Linked DNA regions of Drosophila melanogaster. The gene in region 3 interacts genetically with the main gene of each other region. Each region holds a gene or a part of one and is shown on either strand. Other genes may lie near its edges.

Region 1 (7,936 bases), on a different chromosome or scaffold from region 3:
AGAATATTTCCTTTAGATATCAGATCGAAACATACAAATCCTCCGGCTAACAAGGCAGCCAGGGCACCCAAGAGGCACTTAAGCCGTAGGTCCTTCATCCGACACTCGCACTCCTCGTCTCCACCATCACCGCCACCGGGAGCAGTACCATCCTCGTCGCAGGGCTGGCAGGTGGTCTCCTTTCGTTTGCGCTTGAATTCCTCGCAGGGACTAGTCGCTTTGCAGGAATCCAGGACGGGTTGGCTGGTGCTGAGCTTTGCACTGTCCGACTTTAACACATCCTTAGCACTGCAGACGGACTTGACGTCAGCAAAGCCCTGGAAATTGATTATATTGTTTAATATTTGTTAATAACTCTGCAAGTCTTTGATGGGGATGCAAACTGGTTTCTGTTTAATAACCCAGCTATGTTTTCGCTAGTTATCAATTTCACAAGGCTTGTAGGAAGTTAGTTTGCATCCCCAACTTATCCAGCTAATGCAAATGGATGGTGAATGGTATGAACGATGGGTACCACTTTAAAGAGTGGCTCCGATTGGGAATGGGCTTGAAACTGGGCATTGGCGTAGGCGGGAACGCCGGCTCCCTCCACCGCCGTCTCGTACTCTTCAACGGGGGGCGTGGTCGAGGGCTTGGTGACGCAGACTTGATGATTTGGATATTTGTTGGCTTGCAATTTGGTGCGCGCCTCAAGGGTGCGTTTCTTTACCATTTGATAGAGGCTGCTGTGGGCTGGCCGAAGAGGAGCTGAAATCGACGTGAATGCTAGTTAGTTATCGGCAAAAACATGAAAACACGGATCGGTTTGGCCAGCCGGCCATAACCTCACTTACCGTATGCCGGCGGCGAGCGCTGCGGCACTGGACCCAATAGCCTTCTGTTGGCCAGGATGTACGCCTGCCGGATGAACCTCTGCGTCAGACATCGGACCCCCCAAATACTCATCGTGATTTGCACTGGCTGCGGAGTAGGTGACACCACAATCCACAATTGTGTAACGTAACAACGTTGTGCGGCGAAAGAAACGTGTGTTTTGCGAGTTCGTGTTTTATTTACAAAAAAACCAATTTCTATGACAAATTTCTCCGTGTGAAGTCCGGCGGTGTTTAATTGATCTCGACTCCTTTATCCCTCCTTGCTTTTGGGTAGTCCGCGTTTAATTTATATTTATTTTTCATTCCCTCGCCTGTCTTGTTTTTTTCTGTCTCTGTCGCAGTGTGACCGTCGCAATGAAATGGGAAATGGCCCAGCGCCTATTCGAAATTATTTGGCTTGAAAATAGCCACTTTTTATCAAAAAGTGTTCGTTGGTTTTTGAAATGTTGAACAATATTTAATTTATTTTGAGCAAGTGAAATTTTAAAATCGAACTTACAAGCTCTTTGTTTTGAAAACGATAAATATTAAAAAACATGTTAAAATAAAGATGTGCTTCCAAAATAAAGAATAAAAATTCTTATGAATACCACTTATGTATGTTGTCAGTACAATTGTGCATTAATATATATTAAATACATGTGGGAACATTCATTTATCAGCACTCGCTTGCTGCAAAGCGGCTGCAGCAGCTGCTCCACTTACGGGAGGCTTGATGTCCATTAGTTGGCACAACTGGTTCCGCAGCGGACGCACCTCCACCAGCGGCTGGGTCCAGTCCGTTTCGGAGAGCAGTGTTAGGATCTCATCCATATTCTCCTCGGGCACTTCGGTGACATCGCCGTGCAGAGCCAACGCTTCGTACAATTTTGTGGCAGCGGTTTTGCGAACGTGGACGTGCTGCAGTCCAAGAAATACTGAGAGCTTGGAGAGGATGCGTTTAGACAGGCGAGGAACCTGGAGCAACTGGCAAAAAGCACTGATGCTGGTCGCAGTCTTGTACAGCTTCTTGTAGCCCTTAACCTCCAGGTTGAGCAGCCTAAAGATATCCTCTGCAAAGGGATTTGCTTCATCGTGTAGAACCGATTCTACAGTTCCGGAGCCAATGAGTATATCCAGGAAACTGAGCAGAGGATAGGTCACGCGCTCGTTTAGTAGATGCTCCTCGAAAATCTGGACCACCTCGGAGCAGAGACGCGGAACAGTCTCAGGATTGGAACGCAAGAAGTGGAATAAGGCACTGGAGGCATACTTGATCTGCAGGAAGAATATTTTAGAGATTGATATAGAGGTGGTCTATACAACTTACAAGAGATTCAGTCAGTTGACCAATGCTGGCACTCAGACCCAAAAGAACTCTTTTAGAGTAATCCGGCAGAGAGAGCAGCTCGCAGAACAGCGGGAATGTGTGATCGGCAAATAACCAAAGTACGGAATCCGCATCCGCGGGAAATATTTCCAAGAGTTTTGAGTGCTCCCGTATGTAGGGGATCCTCGGCTGATGATGGATCAGTTGGCAGCAAAGGCGACCACCTAATCCACGAGTGCGATCGATCTTCTCCACCGCCTGTTGCATAAAGCCCACGACAATCTCATGCACTTGCTCTGGGGCGAGGAGATCAGGCGGACACGTAGTGACGATTTCGTATAGCGATGACATAGCCGCCTCCCTCACCCACGCTCCGATGTCACCACGGTTGTCCAGGGTGTACTCTTGAAGAGCTCTTAACAGGCATTCGATAACCTTGTTAAAGTTTTTCGGCTCAGCAAATGAGTCTGAAAAAATAATTGTATACTAAGATTTGTTCACATTCTTAGCCCACAACTAAGATCATTGACTCACCAATTCCCCCTCCATATCCCACGGTCTTCACCAACTTGGTCAAGGCCAGCACGCTCTGTGTCCGTGCCTCGCTCCACCTGTATGCCTGGATGTTCTCGCGGTCACCCATTTCACCCACCAGAACTGCTTGCAGTGGAGTTAGGGAGTGCTTCACCAGACTGTCCAATATAGCCTGCAGATGACAGCGGATCATAAAGGATGGGAGCACACCCAGAGCAGCAATGTAGCCCATGCGAATGTGCTCCTCCAAATCGTTATCTGCACCTGTTAGATAAGTGTTGATTATGGCTTCGTTTTCCCCGTGCCTGGAATCTGAGCAGTAATAAGTGGTACAGAGTTCACCGAACGCTTCCACCGCACCATCCCGAATAGCGTTTGATTTGGTGATCAAACAGGAATCGATGACTTTCTGCCAGGAAACTGAAACGAATAAACGCAATTAAATAATATGCTTGTTATACTTTAGGGACTCTTTTCCTACCCAAGCACTCCGGCGTAGCCTGCAACTTGGCCAGACTGCAGTTCTTTATGTAGCTGCTGGTGCAAGATTTCATCAGGTCGCCGCTCATTCCGCGATAGAAATTTTTGTCTAGGAACGTTATTATTAGTTCATTCAGCTCCGCAACCCGTTGGTTGGAGAGGTAAACCACTTGGGGATCACTCTTTTCCTCTAGTTTCCGTAGGGTCAGTGTTATTTCTCCCATGGCTAAGACACAACCATGCCGGCAGTTAATATCGATGGTGTCAGTTTTTGCCAGCAGTTGCGGCAGCACCACAGCGGCCATGTACTCGGGCTCCCAAAGGGATAGTTTGTGCAGGGCTTTGGCTGTCAGCTCCCTTATAGCCGAATCCCAATGGCTTACCTTATGCTGAACTAGATGGTTAATCAATGGTTCCCTGTACACCTCAAACTGTGCAATGTAGTCACTGATGTTTAGATAGGAATTCTGCCTGATGCCCACGGAATAGAAGTCCGTCGTGGTGGAGATTTCGATTCCGAAGGGAAAGTTGCCCAGGCGTCCCACACTTTCCTGAAAAGCTGCCGAGGCAGCCCGCCTGCAGTTCACCTCGCGGTCGAACACTGCAACGGTCAGCAGGCCAGATGAGATTTTGTGCACAAATGGCTTCACATCATCCGGATTGTAAGCCCTGGCAAATGCCCAGCACATGTAGCAGGCTGAATCTCGGATGTGTTGCCCCACCGACATGTAGCCCTTCATCTCGTCGTAGAAGAGCGCCTGCATAAGGAGGGGTACTAGCTCCTCCAATCGATGTGGCAGCAGCAATCCCCTTTTTGCCAGTTCTGCCAAAGCCAGGCATGCACCATGCCAGGCCTCGTGGGGTTCCAGCGGGTTGAGTATATCAATCACAGACCCTATAACCTCATCGGCCAGCTCCTTGGGAAGGCGATTGGTGACTCTGCCTAATCCTTTGGCGGCGCTCCAGCGTATATCGTTTCCTCCGCTTCGCAGTGCCTGGAGCAGCTCCTCAATCACCTCTTCTATGGCATCGGGGACCACTATTTCCTCGCCTTCCTCCAGGGATTGCTCCAAAACAACTGGTTCACCTCCTGCCGCAGTTGTCTGGTTTAGATTGGTGGCCAGTGAACGAGTGCCTAAGAAAACACTAGTTTATTATGGTTTCATGCGTGAATAACAAACCCCAGGCTTACCTCTTTTATACCGCCAGCTGGCAATGCGTGGCTTCAAATGAACCAATCCAATTCTCTGGATGATTTTTACATAGTTCTTGTACTTGAGAAAGTCGTTGTCATCCTTGTACTGACAGGAAGTGATCCACTGAAGAAGTTTGTCCGCATAGGGCAGAAGATCTTCTCGCTTTCCGTGCTTTAAAATAGCAGCCACTGCAGCCAGTTGGCCGAACTTGACGTTCAACGTGTCCGCTTGGTGCTGCTCCATAATCCAGTCCAGGAAGCGCTCCAGATATAGATCCTTGATGTCACTGCGAATGAAATACTTGGCGGCCAGGAAAGCAGCCATGCTGCTGCATGTGTCGTTGGAGGACACATAAAGCTGGATGAGCTCGAAGATGCGATCCATCTTGGTGTTCTTCGACTGAACATGGTTCACGGGACTGCAATTGGTGGTGGGAGCAGATGTGGAGGTGTCATAGGCATCTAGTCTCGACATGTGAAAGGGATTTAGGACCAGGATAGACATCCACAGGAGCAGTATATAGCGCGTTTCCCACTGTTCGAACTCCTTGGGATTTTGCTGACCCAGCAAATCCAGAACAAACTCCAGATCGCTCAGTTCGTGTGGCATAAACTTTACCAGGACCTTATAGGTGCGCACTTTGCAGATGATGTAGAGATACTTGAAGGCTGCATGAAGCTCTCCAGTGTCTAGATCTGGCTTCCGAATCTTGTGGAGCAGTTTGCCGAGTAACTCCTCCAAATGTGGATCCAAGAGGTGTGGCTGCTCCTGATATCTAGACAAAACCTGGGCGTACTGCTCGAACTCCCTTTCGAAGGTGTTAGCGGCAATGGATTTGATGTTGTCGATCATCTCCAGCACCTGCTGCAGTTCGGTGAAGTGCTCCAGCGTGTTTGCCGGCAGGTCCTCATCCTTGCACTCTTCCACAGAATTCGACATGGCTGCTTGACGATTTTATCGAGTTTTAAACCCACAGCCGGCAACAAAATCAATTCGTTTGTGAATCATTTGTTTTACTGCCAGGGTTGCAACCCCAATGAAAGTATGCTGGTATGACACCACGAACTGACTCGTCTCTTTCTTACTGTTTTTCGACCAAAAGGGTCTTTATCTAATTCTTTATCTTTAAACTAACATTTTTTTTTGGAATCAAATGCAGTTATTGTACATTGTGCTCTTTAAACGTTTGTAATAAATCCTACTAAATAAGTTCATCTAGTGTCATAGTGCCTTTGGTGTGGCCGTTTTGCATGCACCTGGTAATACCGTTAAGCAGCTGTTCGACCAGAGCTGCCAGGCGCAATTAATCATTTATTTGTAGTGGCAAGCGAAACTGCGAGATTTAGCAAGAGCAAGATTTTGTATATTCCACCAAAACGCAGCAAAGCAAGCCCGAATTTGGGATATTAAAAGTGTTACCGTCGGGTCGAAACCGCTCACACATTCGTCGAGTTTGCTGTGAGCGCGGTCATTGCTGTGAAAATTGCGTTGAAAATTCGGGATCCGCAAGTTTCGGAGCATTGCATTTGTGGACAAACCGCAATTTCTGGTCCACTGCGCCATGAAATCAGATAACTACCGTCTCATACAGGAGGTGTCCAAGCGGCGGTGCCTGTGGGACACAAACATGTCCATTTCGTACCGCAACCAGGACGCAGCTCTCCAGTGGGCGAGTGTCGCGCAGATAATGCAGCAGGATGGTGAGTGGCGGATAAACGAGGAGGGTTTTATATGCCTAGGAAACCTATAAATAACACCTGGTCATTTTGCAGTCTCGATCTGCAAGAAACGTTTCAAGGGAATGCGGGACAGCTACCGGGCAGAGGTGCGCAAGATACAGCAGAAACGAATCGAGATGTCCCACTGGCCATACTTTCGCTCACTGGAGTTCATGCGCCAAATCTTCGATCCGGAGGGCCTGGTGCCCTTTCCACCAGAGCCCTTCGTGATGAACACCGAGCAGCCGGAAGTCTTCGAGCCCACCCGACTGGTTGACTTCGCTATCGATTTGGATTTGGACAATGATGACTCTGTTGACTTTGAAATCATCGAGGACATATTTAAGCGGGAGCCGTCAGTGCCCCAGGACTCTGGCTCGGATAAAGGCTCGCTGATCAAGCCTTTGGATTCTTCATCCTCGGGCGCCCATCGTTCCGATCAGGATCTATCGCCCACATTGCCCATACACTTGCCGCGCCACCAACAATTCCTGCCACGTCCACCCCCGCCTTCGAAGAGAGGACGTCGGAGGAAAACTTCGCCGTCTAACGATGTCCCCTTATTGAATGGATACGCCAGCCAGGCGTCAAAGTCTACCACTGAACCCGATCTAAAGAACGATTCGGACTTGAGTTTCTTGATGAGCATGATGCCGCACGTAAAGTCTCTGTCAGCCATTAGCAATCTTAAGTTTCGAATGGAGATGGCGCGCGTTCTGGTGGAACTCAGGGAGGAGGATCAGCACATGCTCGCGGCGGCGGGACCCGAAGACGTTCTAGAGCGCAGCATGCCCAAACTAACACCAGCCCCGAATTCCAGTTTTGCCACTCAGCTGGAGAAATCCCAGTACCATCTATCCAATTCCAGCTACCAAATCAGTAGCCGAAAAACACCAACTTCGTTTGACTATGTCGACAGCTCCATGGTTGAGTGCGATGTCAAGATAGAGAATGAGCCTCTGCTATGAAGACTTCATACCAAATTTTTACGATTTTACATTCACCAATAATTCTCTAAGGAGTATTCCTTTCATATTGTTACAAGTCTTAGATGAAACCCTACTCATACATGAGTAGTTGTTTGGCAAAATGCCTATCATAAGACCATTATCCACACGCTGAATTGCTTGTAAAATATTGATTTGTATTGTCCAATAATTTAACCATTTTGACTCCGGGTATGCCATTCGCGGGCTGTTTTAAAGCAATTTACACGAAATGGAATATACAAACAAAATAACAGCTGATGCTGATTAAATTTTAAGGTTTAGCTTATCATTGGGATGTCATCTGGAAGGAATTTTAATGGATTTGAATTGATTTAAGATTCTGTTTTCGAATAGACACGTAATAAATATGTGCATACGATTTAAAAAAGGTCCAATGATTTTAAGGTGAGATAATCCTAAAATCGATTCGGTTTCATTTCCCGATGTTCCACTACGAAATGTCAACCATAAATAAAACAAATAAAAGAGGCAACTTGGTCGAAAACAATCTCAGTTCAATTGTAATGAAAATTGACGTCCGGTGCATAATTTATATATAATAATATATATCTATATATATATAAATAATAACAATTCAAGATTATTTGCTAGTTTATGTTCCTTGTCTAACGTTCCAGAAAAAAAGTAACTTGGCATTTGGCAGTCGGACGTTTTCGTTTCGGCGAATGGTATTTAGTTAGGCAGCAGTACGGTCACACTGGCGGAACTAACTAAAAAAAAGTGTGAAAATTTGTCAAATATTTCGACAAGTACAACGATCTAATCGATTCGGGAGCAGAATTCAGCCCCCGCAGCAAAGCGCCCGCGTGTACCA
Region 2 (6,150 bases), 7.7 Mb from region 3:
CGGTGGCAAATCCCACACTGCGAGTGCAGAAAATGTAGGGCCTTACGTAGGGCTCCCAGTATCTGCCGCACCTCGAACTCCGTCAGACCATTAGCATTCTCCGGGCTCTGCAGACGCTTCCTCACGTCTCCACCGTTACAGTATTCCAGCACAATAACAGGCAACTTGGCACTAAACATGCCATTCAGGTACTCCAAAAAGTCCGGATCCTCGATGTCCACGCCAGCCACAATATGGGGAAAGTTTTTAAACTGACGAGACCAGTTCAGCTCCTTGTTCCAACGCTCGCTGAGCTTGACTTGCTGATCGGCACTCAGGGCCCCCATCTCCTTTATGTGCTTGGTGGCTATGTGGAAAATAAATAAACACTTAAGACTGACGCTTAAAATATCTGCCATATCGGCTAACTCAGCCGAAAGGCTATAAGCGACATATCTAATGCGGAGACCACACCAAACGCGCAAAACTCGAGCCCTCTATCACTATCAGTGGACCACCCGGAAACGCATGCCTCAGCTCGGTTTCTGGGAATTGTTGGACAACAAACATGTTCATATGTATATGTATGTTGTTTTTATGGTTTTATTATTTGGATATATACAAAATACAACAAAAAATTTATTTATTTATGAGTAAGGCTGGAAAGGGGGAGGGTGTTTGGGGGCTGGTAATGTGTGTTTGCGAAAAAGAAAATCCTTAAAATATTTATATGTATATGTATATTAGTGTTAGCCCATAAGGTGTTTATAGCTCACCAATTTCACGGCCCGTTGTTCGGTTTCGCCAATGGATCACTAGGCCGAATCCGCCCTCTCCCAGATTCCGGCACCGCTCCCAGTTCCCAAAAGAGTGCATCTTGTTGTTTTCGTTAAGCTTTATTTTATTTACGGAGCTCATTCTTCCAAGAATCTGAATCCCTCCATGGCAATCGGAAAAGCAAAACACCACAGTGATCATACAAGATTTGCGATATTCGATTGCTTATACACTAGTCATCGTTCAGCAGCAATCGCGGTCACGAGAATTTTGTTTAGAGGAGCGCTCAGCTGCAGCCACTTTCAATTGGGATGCATACCTTTAAATAAACTGGACGAATTGGGATACCCAAAAACGTTTTTAATTGAAGCTTAGAAATGGTGGCTTAAAATGTCAACTGCTACTGAAGTCACCCTTCGGTCACTATTTGCTTCACTCGCCTCAATTTTTATCGATTAAGTTATCGCAACGAAGTGACATCGCTAATCAAACAGGTTGTAAACAAAACGCTGAAAAATAACTTTAGTTTAGTGAAAATAGTAATACTCCTGCATGCTTGAGCTAAGATGCGTTTCCACATGAAGAGCGGCAGCGAGGACAATGACATTGTGGCGGCCACAGCCACTGCCGAGCATATCCGCAAGTTTGTCTTCAGCGGATCACCCGCCGAGCGACTGGAGATCAAAATACCTGAGGTAATCCTTAGAACCAGGTGTTCGTGTAGTATCTAAAGTGTCCGCCTACAGCTGCTTCAGGGTGCCTACTCCTTCTACACATGGCCTTGCGCACCAATTTTAGCCCACTTCCTGTGGGAGCGCCGACAGACACTGGCGGGCAAGCGCATCCTGGAGCTGGGAAGCGGCACCGCCCTGCCCGGCATTCTGGCGGCCAAATGCCGCGCCCAAGTGGTACTTACTGACAACTGCATTCTGCCCAAGTCACTGGCCCATATCCGAAAGTCCTGCCTGGCCAATCAACTGCAGCCGGGCGTTGATATCGATGTGGTGGGCCTGAGTTGGGGCCTGCTGCTGAACAGCGTGTTCCGACTGCCGCCTCTGGACCTTATCATTGCAGCAGACTGCTTCTACGATCCCAGCGTGTTCGAGGATATCGTGGTCACAGTTGCTTTTCTGCTGGAGCGAAATGCCGGGGCCAAATTTATATTTACATACCAGGAGCGGAGCGCCGACTGGTCCATAGAGGCGCTGCTCAAGAAGTGGAAGCTGCAGGCTTTACCCATCAGCATGGAGGACATTGGCAAGGAGTCGGGAGTGGATCTGCTGGAGTTTATGGGCGGACACACTATTCATCTTCTGGAGATCACGCGCATCGAAAGCGATGGCTCAATAAATACAACATAACAATTATACAATTGGCTTTTTTTATGCTGAATGTCAAATCTCTCTTAGTTAATGTTCTACACGGGAATGCTCCCAAACATCAAATAAATATTTGCCTGTGGTAATCGCTTGAAATCAATGTTGGCCAAATATTTGGAAATATATGTTTAAAATTTAGCGCGTACCTATCAAAGTTTTCCACCCAGCACACTAATTCTAGGTTTTAGGGGATGCTAGAGTTGTGAGTAGCGGTCACACTGGCGCAACGACGCTGTTGGAAAACTGCGAAAATTATTATTTATTTACCTACCGCGAAACCAAGTAAATTCCGCTGCACAAAAGAGGCTCGAAGTGCTGGAAACGTAGTTAAGTTATTGTTCATTGTTGCTACATTACTTGGCATCCCGGAAAGACCCCGTCGGTGTGTCTTTGTCGAATAAGTGTGCGTGCTTCTGTGTTGTGCCGTGTGTAAGTGTTGGTACGTCGTCGCCTGCGAAAAATCGAAGTTATTGCATTGCGCAGCCCTTTCAAGCCGCTGTCCCTGGCCAGCTGTAAGTCCCGCAGCTCCTCGCCCAGTCCCCGCTCTACGGCGGTACTTGGATCACAATTCTGATGGTGAGTGTGCTAGTGCGTGTACCGGAATGCACTCGGATGCATCGCGATTTTGTTCCAGGGCGTCGCAATTTGTTTGTCGCTAAAATGGGCGATATGTGCTTCATCTGCGGCTCTCAAGTTGCAGCCACTGGAAATTGATAGCCGCTGCAACCATTGGCGGTTGGGTGGAACGGTAAACGACGGCATAATCCAGACACACAGCCCACAGGAGAAACATTTGTTGTTGCCTGCGGTATGATCCGTTAATTCGAACTTGAGAGCGTCGGTGTGCGTGAGAGCTTGAAAGAGCGAAATCAAGAGAGAGGAAGAAACAAAGCGCGGGCATATCCGAATTGAAAAATGCTCTACTCAAACGTGAGCACAGTAGGAGCGCATCAAAACAATATTAAAGAGACAGATGCATGAATAATAAATGGGAGTGATGGAAAATCCACGCCTGATTCAGTCGCAGGCTTTCGTGTGCGTGTGTCACCTTTTGTAGTGGTTGTGCGGGGGGTATTTGCCGTGCCCCTGATTAATTGACTGAAAAAATAACGCGCTATTCAGCGACATGATATCACCCATCCTGGGTGACAAGCCCACCAACCTTTTCCGAAAATCCAAATTTACACTCTCCTATTTCTGCTTCTGTTTGCCAAATAACTGCACTTAGAAAACGACAATCTAAATATGGCCGACCCATTTACTTTTTTCCGCCCCTCGAGCGAAACGGATGGATGATTCTGCTTCCTTGGCCATCGGTATTTCATAGACTATTAAGCTCAATTTTAAAACATCAGCTCGATGACTCCTGACATCCGGAATAGTTCTGCTTCATTGGAAGCTTGGCTAGTTTTTCTTTTAAGAAAAATTCGATTAAAGTAGCTTTTTTATACATATTTATCTTTTTGTTTCGCAGAATGCTGCTTGAGGCTGTTTGCGACTGAGACCATTGAGGAGAACCCGAGTAGCGTACGAAACACGACACAATGGCCGAGGACACAGAGTACAAGAAGTTGCCGGTGGAGGAGCGGTGTGTCCATAAACTATGGAAAGCCCGCGTCGATGGTTACGAGGAGGCCGCAAAGATCTTTCGCGAGCTGGATGACGAGAAGTCGCCGGAATGGTCTAAATTTGCAGGGCTCATAAAGAAGATGGTAGTGGACTCTAATGCTCTGGCCCAGGAAAAGGGTCTAGAAGCGGCCCTCATTTTTGTGGAGAACAGCGGGCTGGCGGGACGCACAGTAGGCGACGTGATGACAGGCATCGTTCAGAAGTGCATTGCGGCGCCAAAGACCAAAACCAAGGAGCTCTCCGTCCAAGTGGCTCTAATGTATGTGGAGATAGAGAAGCAGGAGGCCGTCGTCGAAGAGCTGGTTAAAGGTATGGAGGCCAAGAACCCTAAGATTGTGTCTGCCTGCGTGGCAGCCACCACACTGGCCCTCCGCGAGTTCGGACACAAGGTGATCGGCGTCAAGCCGTTAATTAAAAAGCTTGCTCCGCTAATGTCTGACCGAGACAAGACGGTCCGAGATGAGGGCAAGCAGCTGGCTGTTGAGATTTACCGTTGGATCGGAGCTGCAATGAAGGCACAGATCTCAACGCTACCACAGGTAACGCTAAAGGAGCTGGAGGATGAATTCGACAAACTCAAAGGTGAACGCGTTGAACCCTCCAGGTGTGTTCAAGGATTTCTCTCTATCATTGCCTAGCTAAACCGCTCTTACTTTTAGATATCTAAAGTCCCAGCAGGAAAAGCAAGCGAAGATCGCCGATGCTGCAGCGACCGAGGATGCATATAATGGTATGAAGCCCTCGATATTACAAAAGCAGTGAATTATTGATTTGATTTTGGTTTTCGTATGCAGAGGATGATGGCGAGGCTGGCGTTGAAGAAATCGATCCTATGGATCTTCTAGACCCCGTTGACATTCTCTCCAAAATGCCCAAGGACTTCTACGATAAGCTGGAGGAAAAGAAATGGACTCTGCGCAAAGAATCGTTGGAAGTCCTGGAGAAACTGCTCACTGACCACCCCAAGCTAGAGAATGGCGAGTATGGAGCGCTGGTAAGCGCTCTTAAAAAGGTTATAACCAAGGACTCCAACGTAGTCCTCGTTGCAATGGCCGGAAAATGTCTAGCCTTGCTAGCCAAAGGATTGGCAAAGCGATTCTCAAATTACGCATCCGTAAGTAACTCTCACCTTCTTCCAAATAACGTGTTTTCATATGTGTTCTTCTATTTCAGGCTTGTGTCCCATCCCTGTTGGAAAAATTTAAAGAGAAGAAACCTAATGTTGTGACAGCGCTGCGTGAAGCTATTGATGCCATATACGCCTCCACTTCTCTAGAGGCCCAGCAAGAGTCCATTGTAGAGTCCCTGTCCAACAAAAATCCAAGTGTTAAGTCCGAAACGGCCTTGTTTATTGCCCGTGCCCTAACCCGCACCCAACCAACCGCGCTAAACAAAAAGCTGCTTAAACTTCTGACCACCAGTCTAGTGAAAACGCTTAACGAACCAGATCCAACCGTACGCGACAGCAGCGCCGAAGCTCTTGGTACTTTAATAAAGCTAATGGGAGACAAAGCGGTGACTCCTTTGCTCGCCGACGTCGATCCACTCAAAATGGCCAAGATAAAGGAGTGCCAAGAAAAGGCGGAGATTAAAATAAAGGTTGCAGGTCCAAAGAAGGAGACACGACCTGCATCTGCACCGACTGCGAAAGCTGCTGCTCCGGCTAAGACAGTGGCTGGTAGTGTGGACCCTAAGCCAGTAACCCGACCGGCCACTACAGGGGCACGTAAGGTCTTGAAAAAACCGGCGACGGTTAGTGGAGGAGGAGCTACATCTGCCCCAACTGCAGCTCTTAAAGCGGGTGGAAAACCCCTAGCCACGGAACGCGAAATAACCCCCGAGGAATTGCAAGAAAAATCCGAAGAAATTCTGCCAGCCGAAATTCTTAATGGGCTGGTGGATTCCAACTGGAAGAACCGCCTTGCTGCTGTGGAACAGCTTCTGGGCGAAATAAGCGGTTTTGATGCAAAACAGGCTGGCATATCACAGATCCTGATCCGAACAATCAGTGGACGAAAGCCAGGCCTCAAAGAAATGAATTTCCAGGTACTCAAGTTTAAGCTAGACATAATCCGCAGTGTGGCTGAAAACTATCCACTGACCACGACAACCGTTGATCTGGTGATTAACGAAATAATCGAGAAGCTAGCAGACGCCAAGAATGGTGCAGCAGCTGCAGATGTTTTGTCTGCCTTTGCCGAAGCCACTAAACTGGAGTATGTTGTGGGCAAAGTATTGAGCTTTGCTTTTGAACAAAAATCGCCTAAAGTGCAATCAGAGGCCTTTAACTGGGTTAACAGGTCAATCATAGAATTCGGCTTCCAATTGCAGCCAAAGACACTTATTGAAGATGTACGAAAAGGCGTGCAGAGCACGAATCCAACGG
Region 3 (4,403 bases):
CGCATCGCCTTGATGCCGCTGAGATGCAGCGCTGATAGACGCGCTTTAAATGCATAAAATTGCCGACTATAAATAAGATTTAATGAAACACATTTTTCGATTCCCGATTCTACACGCATCCGCATCCAATCCACAAATATGGGGTTTACTTCGTTGTGTTGTTCTACCATATTGTTTTGGCAAAGGATTGTGGTCGCTGGGGAGAGAAGGCGGAGCGTTTAGCCCGGCATCTTCTATGCTTCTTGAGTTATTATTGTAATTTGGCTGTGGCCAGTCGAGTGGAACGGTTGCAGTTGCAGATGCAGTTACTCCGAAAGATCCCGACCGCGAGACACAGCGCAGAAGATGGAGAGCCGCCAGCGCTTTGGCATTTCGTGTTCATTTAAATTTTTCACAGTCTATGAAATATAATAAGTTTGCGACATGTGCACCGCTACGTTCCCATCCCATAATTAGCCAAACGAACTTTAATTAAAAATCGAGCTCTTTTCCGTTTCGGGGGAATCTATATTTTCGGGATCACATATGGCCCACGAATAGGCTATACAATGTCTGCAGCAGATCACCACTTTCAGTTCCGTTCGGAACCACCTACGCAGAACTGCTGGCCATTCCCAATGTGTTTACGGTGGGCCAGTCCGCGTCCACTTTATGACTTTTCGTTTCGCGCGCACATCCAAAAATTCAAATGGGCCGTAGCGGAATAATGGCAAACCAACGCAACGCAACACAACAGAAGAGGAAAGATTACGCTTTTCTGTTTATTCCACTTCGATGGGTATGCACTGTACAGTGCGTGGTGAAACTATAAGGATAAGTTACTTACTAAGTTCACTATACGAGTTTTCTATAAGGGAATATACTCTTAGACTTGAGAACATGCAACTGTTTGCGGAAACTATCTGTTAAATATTATTTCTCGTTTAATAACTAACATATTTCTTAAATTCCACAACAGTTTCGTGACGCACTGCCCGTTGTGAGTGTGTGGAAAATGCCAGGGAAAATGCATAAAGCGGCGGATGTTTTCATAATTTTTAATGCTTTAGTTTTATTTAAGTGTTTATGGAGAATAACTAATGAAAAACGTCATGAATTGCATATTCCGCCGCACTCGGGTATTAATAAACGGGCGGCGTGCATGGGCCTGTGCTTGTGTTAAAGCGCAACATGATTCGCTCGATTTAAAATGCATTTCCATGCCAATGGCAACGCGCCGAGTTGCCGCCCTTTGATTTATAAAACAGGCCGTTTCCTTAGCCGATTCCCCAGTCTCGACCGCATCCCAGATCTCTGCTCCATGTCGCCGCTGTTTGTTTACTTAATGTCAATGCAATTAAGGGGAAATACTTTTGGGCAAATATCTCGTTGCCAGCGACCGTGCCTAAAACAAATAAGCAGTCTCGTTACTTTACAGCCAGATCTCTTATATTTCCACGCTTTAAATGCTCTTGCGAATGTTCAGTTTACACATCAAATCTTAGCTATTCTAACACAAAACAATAAGCCAGGTTGTAGGTTGGGGTGTTTCATGTTGTCCAGGTATCCAGGGCAAGGCTCTGCAAGATAAAGGGATTAAGGATTGCGATTAGTTACAAACTTTTGGGATAGATGTTGTATCTGAATGGCAGATCTCTTAGGCAAGTGGTTCTCATGTTACACATATCTATTATTGTACAAATAAAATTCCTAATTAAACTATTATTGTATAAGACGGAGACTTTAAGATGCTAGTTTGCAAACAAATATTATAACTTAAGGTTTAAACATAGTCTATAAATTTATTAGACAAATACAGGGAATAGTTTACGGAATGTTGTCCTTGGATAATGTCATATTTTATGTCAAGAACTTAGCAACCTAGCATAAACACAAAATTCTAAAAAATGGAACTTACACAATCAAAACATTGAAATATAAGGCGACTACGCTGAATCACGGATCTTGCGCGGGGTTTAATGGCTTAGCTTAGGGTTCGGTACTGCGACTTCACTCCTTCTTGGGAACACTCAGCTCGTAGAAAAGCTTGCCCATGCCACCGATGCCGACGAGGGCGAGAGCGACGGTGACGCGGTAGAGCACGTTGTCCACGACGGATCCCTTGAGGAAGACGGGCTTGCCGTCCTTCTTCTGAAAGTGCTCCTGCACCTTGCGGATCTCGAAGTATCCCTTCTCGATCTGGTCCTTGGGCACGGCGGCGGACCGGCGGCCAGCGGTGGTAGCGAAGCTACGGACAACAGCCTGCCGAGGAGTACAAAATGTGCGGTTAGTTCTGAGGCTCCAGGGAACTTACGTAATTGGATGTAGGTAATGGGATCTCCAGTGTTTCGGAACTCATGCTGTTCCTCCAGAAAGGTGTGTAGAGTAATGTAAATTACTTACTCTCGACAGGTTCATCATTTTGCTGGGGTTTATTTTTAAGATTTAGCAAAAAGTGAGCAGTTTTCCTGGGCGAAAAATATCGGTCTGAAATATGACAGCTGACAACTGGAGATATATCGATGTATTATCGATACATCGATGTCGATATTTCCAGCAGTTTGGCATTCACCTGGAAATTCCTATTTAGTTTAATAAACAATTTAAGCAGCTGCCAATAAAAACATTTGTTTATAATTCCATAGCGTTACTAAAATACAGACGTTGTCATGGGCTTCCTCACAGTATTAAAAAAGATGCGACAGAAGGAAAGGGAAATGCGCATATTACTGCTGTGAGTTCCATGGAATTATAAAAAAATAAATAGTGATTCATGTATCGACTTTCTTATAGAGGTCTGGATAATGCCGGCAAGACGACAATCCTGAAGCGCTTTAATGGCGAACCCATAGACACCATCTCACCCACACTGGGATTCAATATTAAAACCTTGGAGCACAACGGCTACACCCTGAATATGTGGGATGTCGGTGGCCAGAAGTCTCTGCGATCCTACTGGAGAAACTACTTCGAGTCCACTGATGGTCTGGTCTGGGTGGTGGATAGCGCTGACAGGATGCGCCTAGAGTCCTGCGGCCAGGAGCTGCAAGTTCTGCTCCAGGAAGAGCGATTAGCTGGAGCCACACTCCTAGTTCTCTGCAACAAACAGGATCTACCGGGAGCCCTCTCATCCAACGAAATTAAAGAGGTTCACTCTCATTGATTTTTTATTGAAACAACACATTTAATATACTTTATATTTAAAGATACTACACCTAGAGGATATCACCACACATCATTGGCTGGTGGCCGGAGTTAGTGCAGTGACTGGCGAGAAACTGCTTAGCTCCATGGACTGGTTGATCGCCGATATAGCTAAGCGTATATTCACTTTGGATTAAATACAATTTATTTTACTTCCTTATTTCTCGACCAAGTACATTTTGTATAGCTTTTCCTGCTTTTCGTCCGCAAAATTGGGCTTAAAGTTCACCTTGTGTATGGATATAAATCCTTCGTCTAGGGCGGGTTCCTGGTACTTTTTCTTCATCATGTTAAATACCATGTCCTTGATCTTGGTGCGCGCGGAGTCTGATAGCTCTCGGAAAGCTATATTGTGCTTCACTTGGGCGACGGGCACATTCATCACAAGGCAGCGGCATGGAATCATCTTTTCGCTGGCCAACTGCAAGAATTTTTTTCGAGAAGCTGCATCCACATTGGTGTTATCCACCACACATGATTGGCCCGAGTCCAGGAACCGTTTACAGGCAGTCAGGCAGTTTTGAGTGCTACCCAATGTATCTGCATTGACGATTTTGTAGCCCCGCGGTTGAAAAAAGCTGGAACAAAAGTGGCTCTTTCCGGATCCTGGCAGACCCACCATGATGACCATTTCGCAGGGGTGGTCATCGAGGGTCAAGTCATCCGGATCAAGCAGAGATACTTGGTCCTGAACGCTAGTGGGTTCAAAGTCCGGCTTATTCCACTGCTCCACTTGTTTGCCCAGGAAATGAACCTCTGGAGTGTAGAATGAAATTCCCACGTTGGCTGCAAAAAGTCTGTCTACTAAAGAGTGATCTTTGCGCCGCTTGGTGGCTCCCTTGCCCGTCTCCGGTCTTCCGGCTGCATCGCCGACGAAGAAACATCGATCTTCCTGAATCTCAACGCCATCATTCATTTCACTCTTTAAGTGCTGCCACATTCCCGTCAAAGGTTTGCGATAAAATCCATCACCTATGGCTATAAATACTTGAATTGGAACTCCCAGTTTAGCCACAATATGCTTGATCTTGACCTTAAAGTCATCTAGGTTGATTTTTCCACGAGCAATGCCTCCTTGGTTGGTGAAGAGACAGATTTTAAACCCATCCTTGTGGAGATTCTTTAGTTTCTCCGGCACTTCGGGAAATATGATCTGCCAGTCGTCGGTGTTTTTGGGGAACACCAGTCCCGATTTTGTTTTTATAATGGTGCCGTCCATG

Evidence for each region.
Region 1: of Arl2 (region 3) and Tbcd, changing one enhances a phenotype caused by changing the other (phenotypic enhancement), as found in Drosophila melanogaster (one study listed by BioGRID).
Region 2: of Arl2 (region 3) and msps, changing one suppresses a phenotype caused by changing the other (phenotypic suppression), as found in Drosophila melanogaster (one study listed by BioGRID).

What each region holds. Positions count from the first base shown.
Region 1 is NT_033779.5:2,145,044-2,152,979, reverse strand, and holds Tbcd (Tubulin-binding cofactor D), read right to left. Parts: upstream 5,463-7,936; 5' UTR 5,334-5,462; coding exon 4,391-5,333; intron 4,334-4,390; coding exon 3,200-4,333; intron 3,139-3,199; coding exon 2,719-3,138; intron 2,652-2,718; coding exon 2,185-2,651; intron 2,133-2,184; coding exon 1,527-2,132; 3' UTR 1,316-1,526; downstream 1-1,315. Other genes in the region: AIF (apoptosis inducing factor), read right to left, coding at 36-317, 515-747, 834-945; CG11723 (uncharacterized protein), read left to right, coding at 5,956-6,094, 6,167-7,080.
Region 2 is NT_033777.3:16,048,466-16,054,615, forward strand, and holds the start of msps (mini spindles), read left to right. Parts: upstream 1-2,335; 5' UTR 2,336-2,711; intron 2,712-3,412; exon of another isoform or gene 3,413-3,451; intron 3,452-3,609; 5' UTR 3,610-3,679; coding exon 3,680-4,368; intron 4,369-4,423; coding exon 4,424-4,494; intron 4,495-4,558; coding exon 4,559-4,878; intron 4,879-4,937; coding exon 4,938-6,150. Other genes in the region: IKKbeta (I-kappaB kinase beta), read right to left, coding at 1-346, 756-855; CG5013 (uncharacterized protein), read left to right, coding at 1,323-1,451, 1,503-2,117. UniProt on the Drosophila melanogaster protein: Binds to the plus end of microtubules and regulates microtubule dynamics and microtubule organization. Function in neurons is essential for adult survival, and is important for climbing behavior and activity.
Region 3 is NT_033777.3:8,338,531-8,342,933, forward strand, and holds Arl2 (ADP ribosylation factor-like 2), read left to right. Parts: upstream 1-2,569; 5' UTR 2,570-2,648; coding exon 2,649-2,713; intron 2,714-2,772; coding exon 2,773-3,127; intron 3,128-3,130; exon of another isoform or gene 3,131-3,185; coding exon 3,186-3,320; 3' UTR 3,321-3,340; downstream 3,341-4,403. Other genes in the region: COX7A (cytochrome c oxidase subunit 7A), read right to left, coding at 1,990-2,241, 2,294-2,338; PNKP (polynucleotide kinase 3'-phosphatase), read right to left, coding at 3,341-4,403. UniProt on the Drosophila melanogaster protein: GTP-binding protein involved in protein trafficking; may modulate vesicle budding and uncoating within the Golgi apparatus.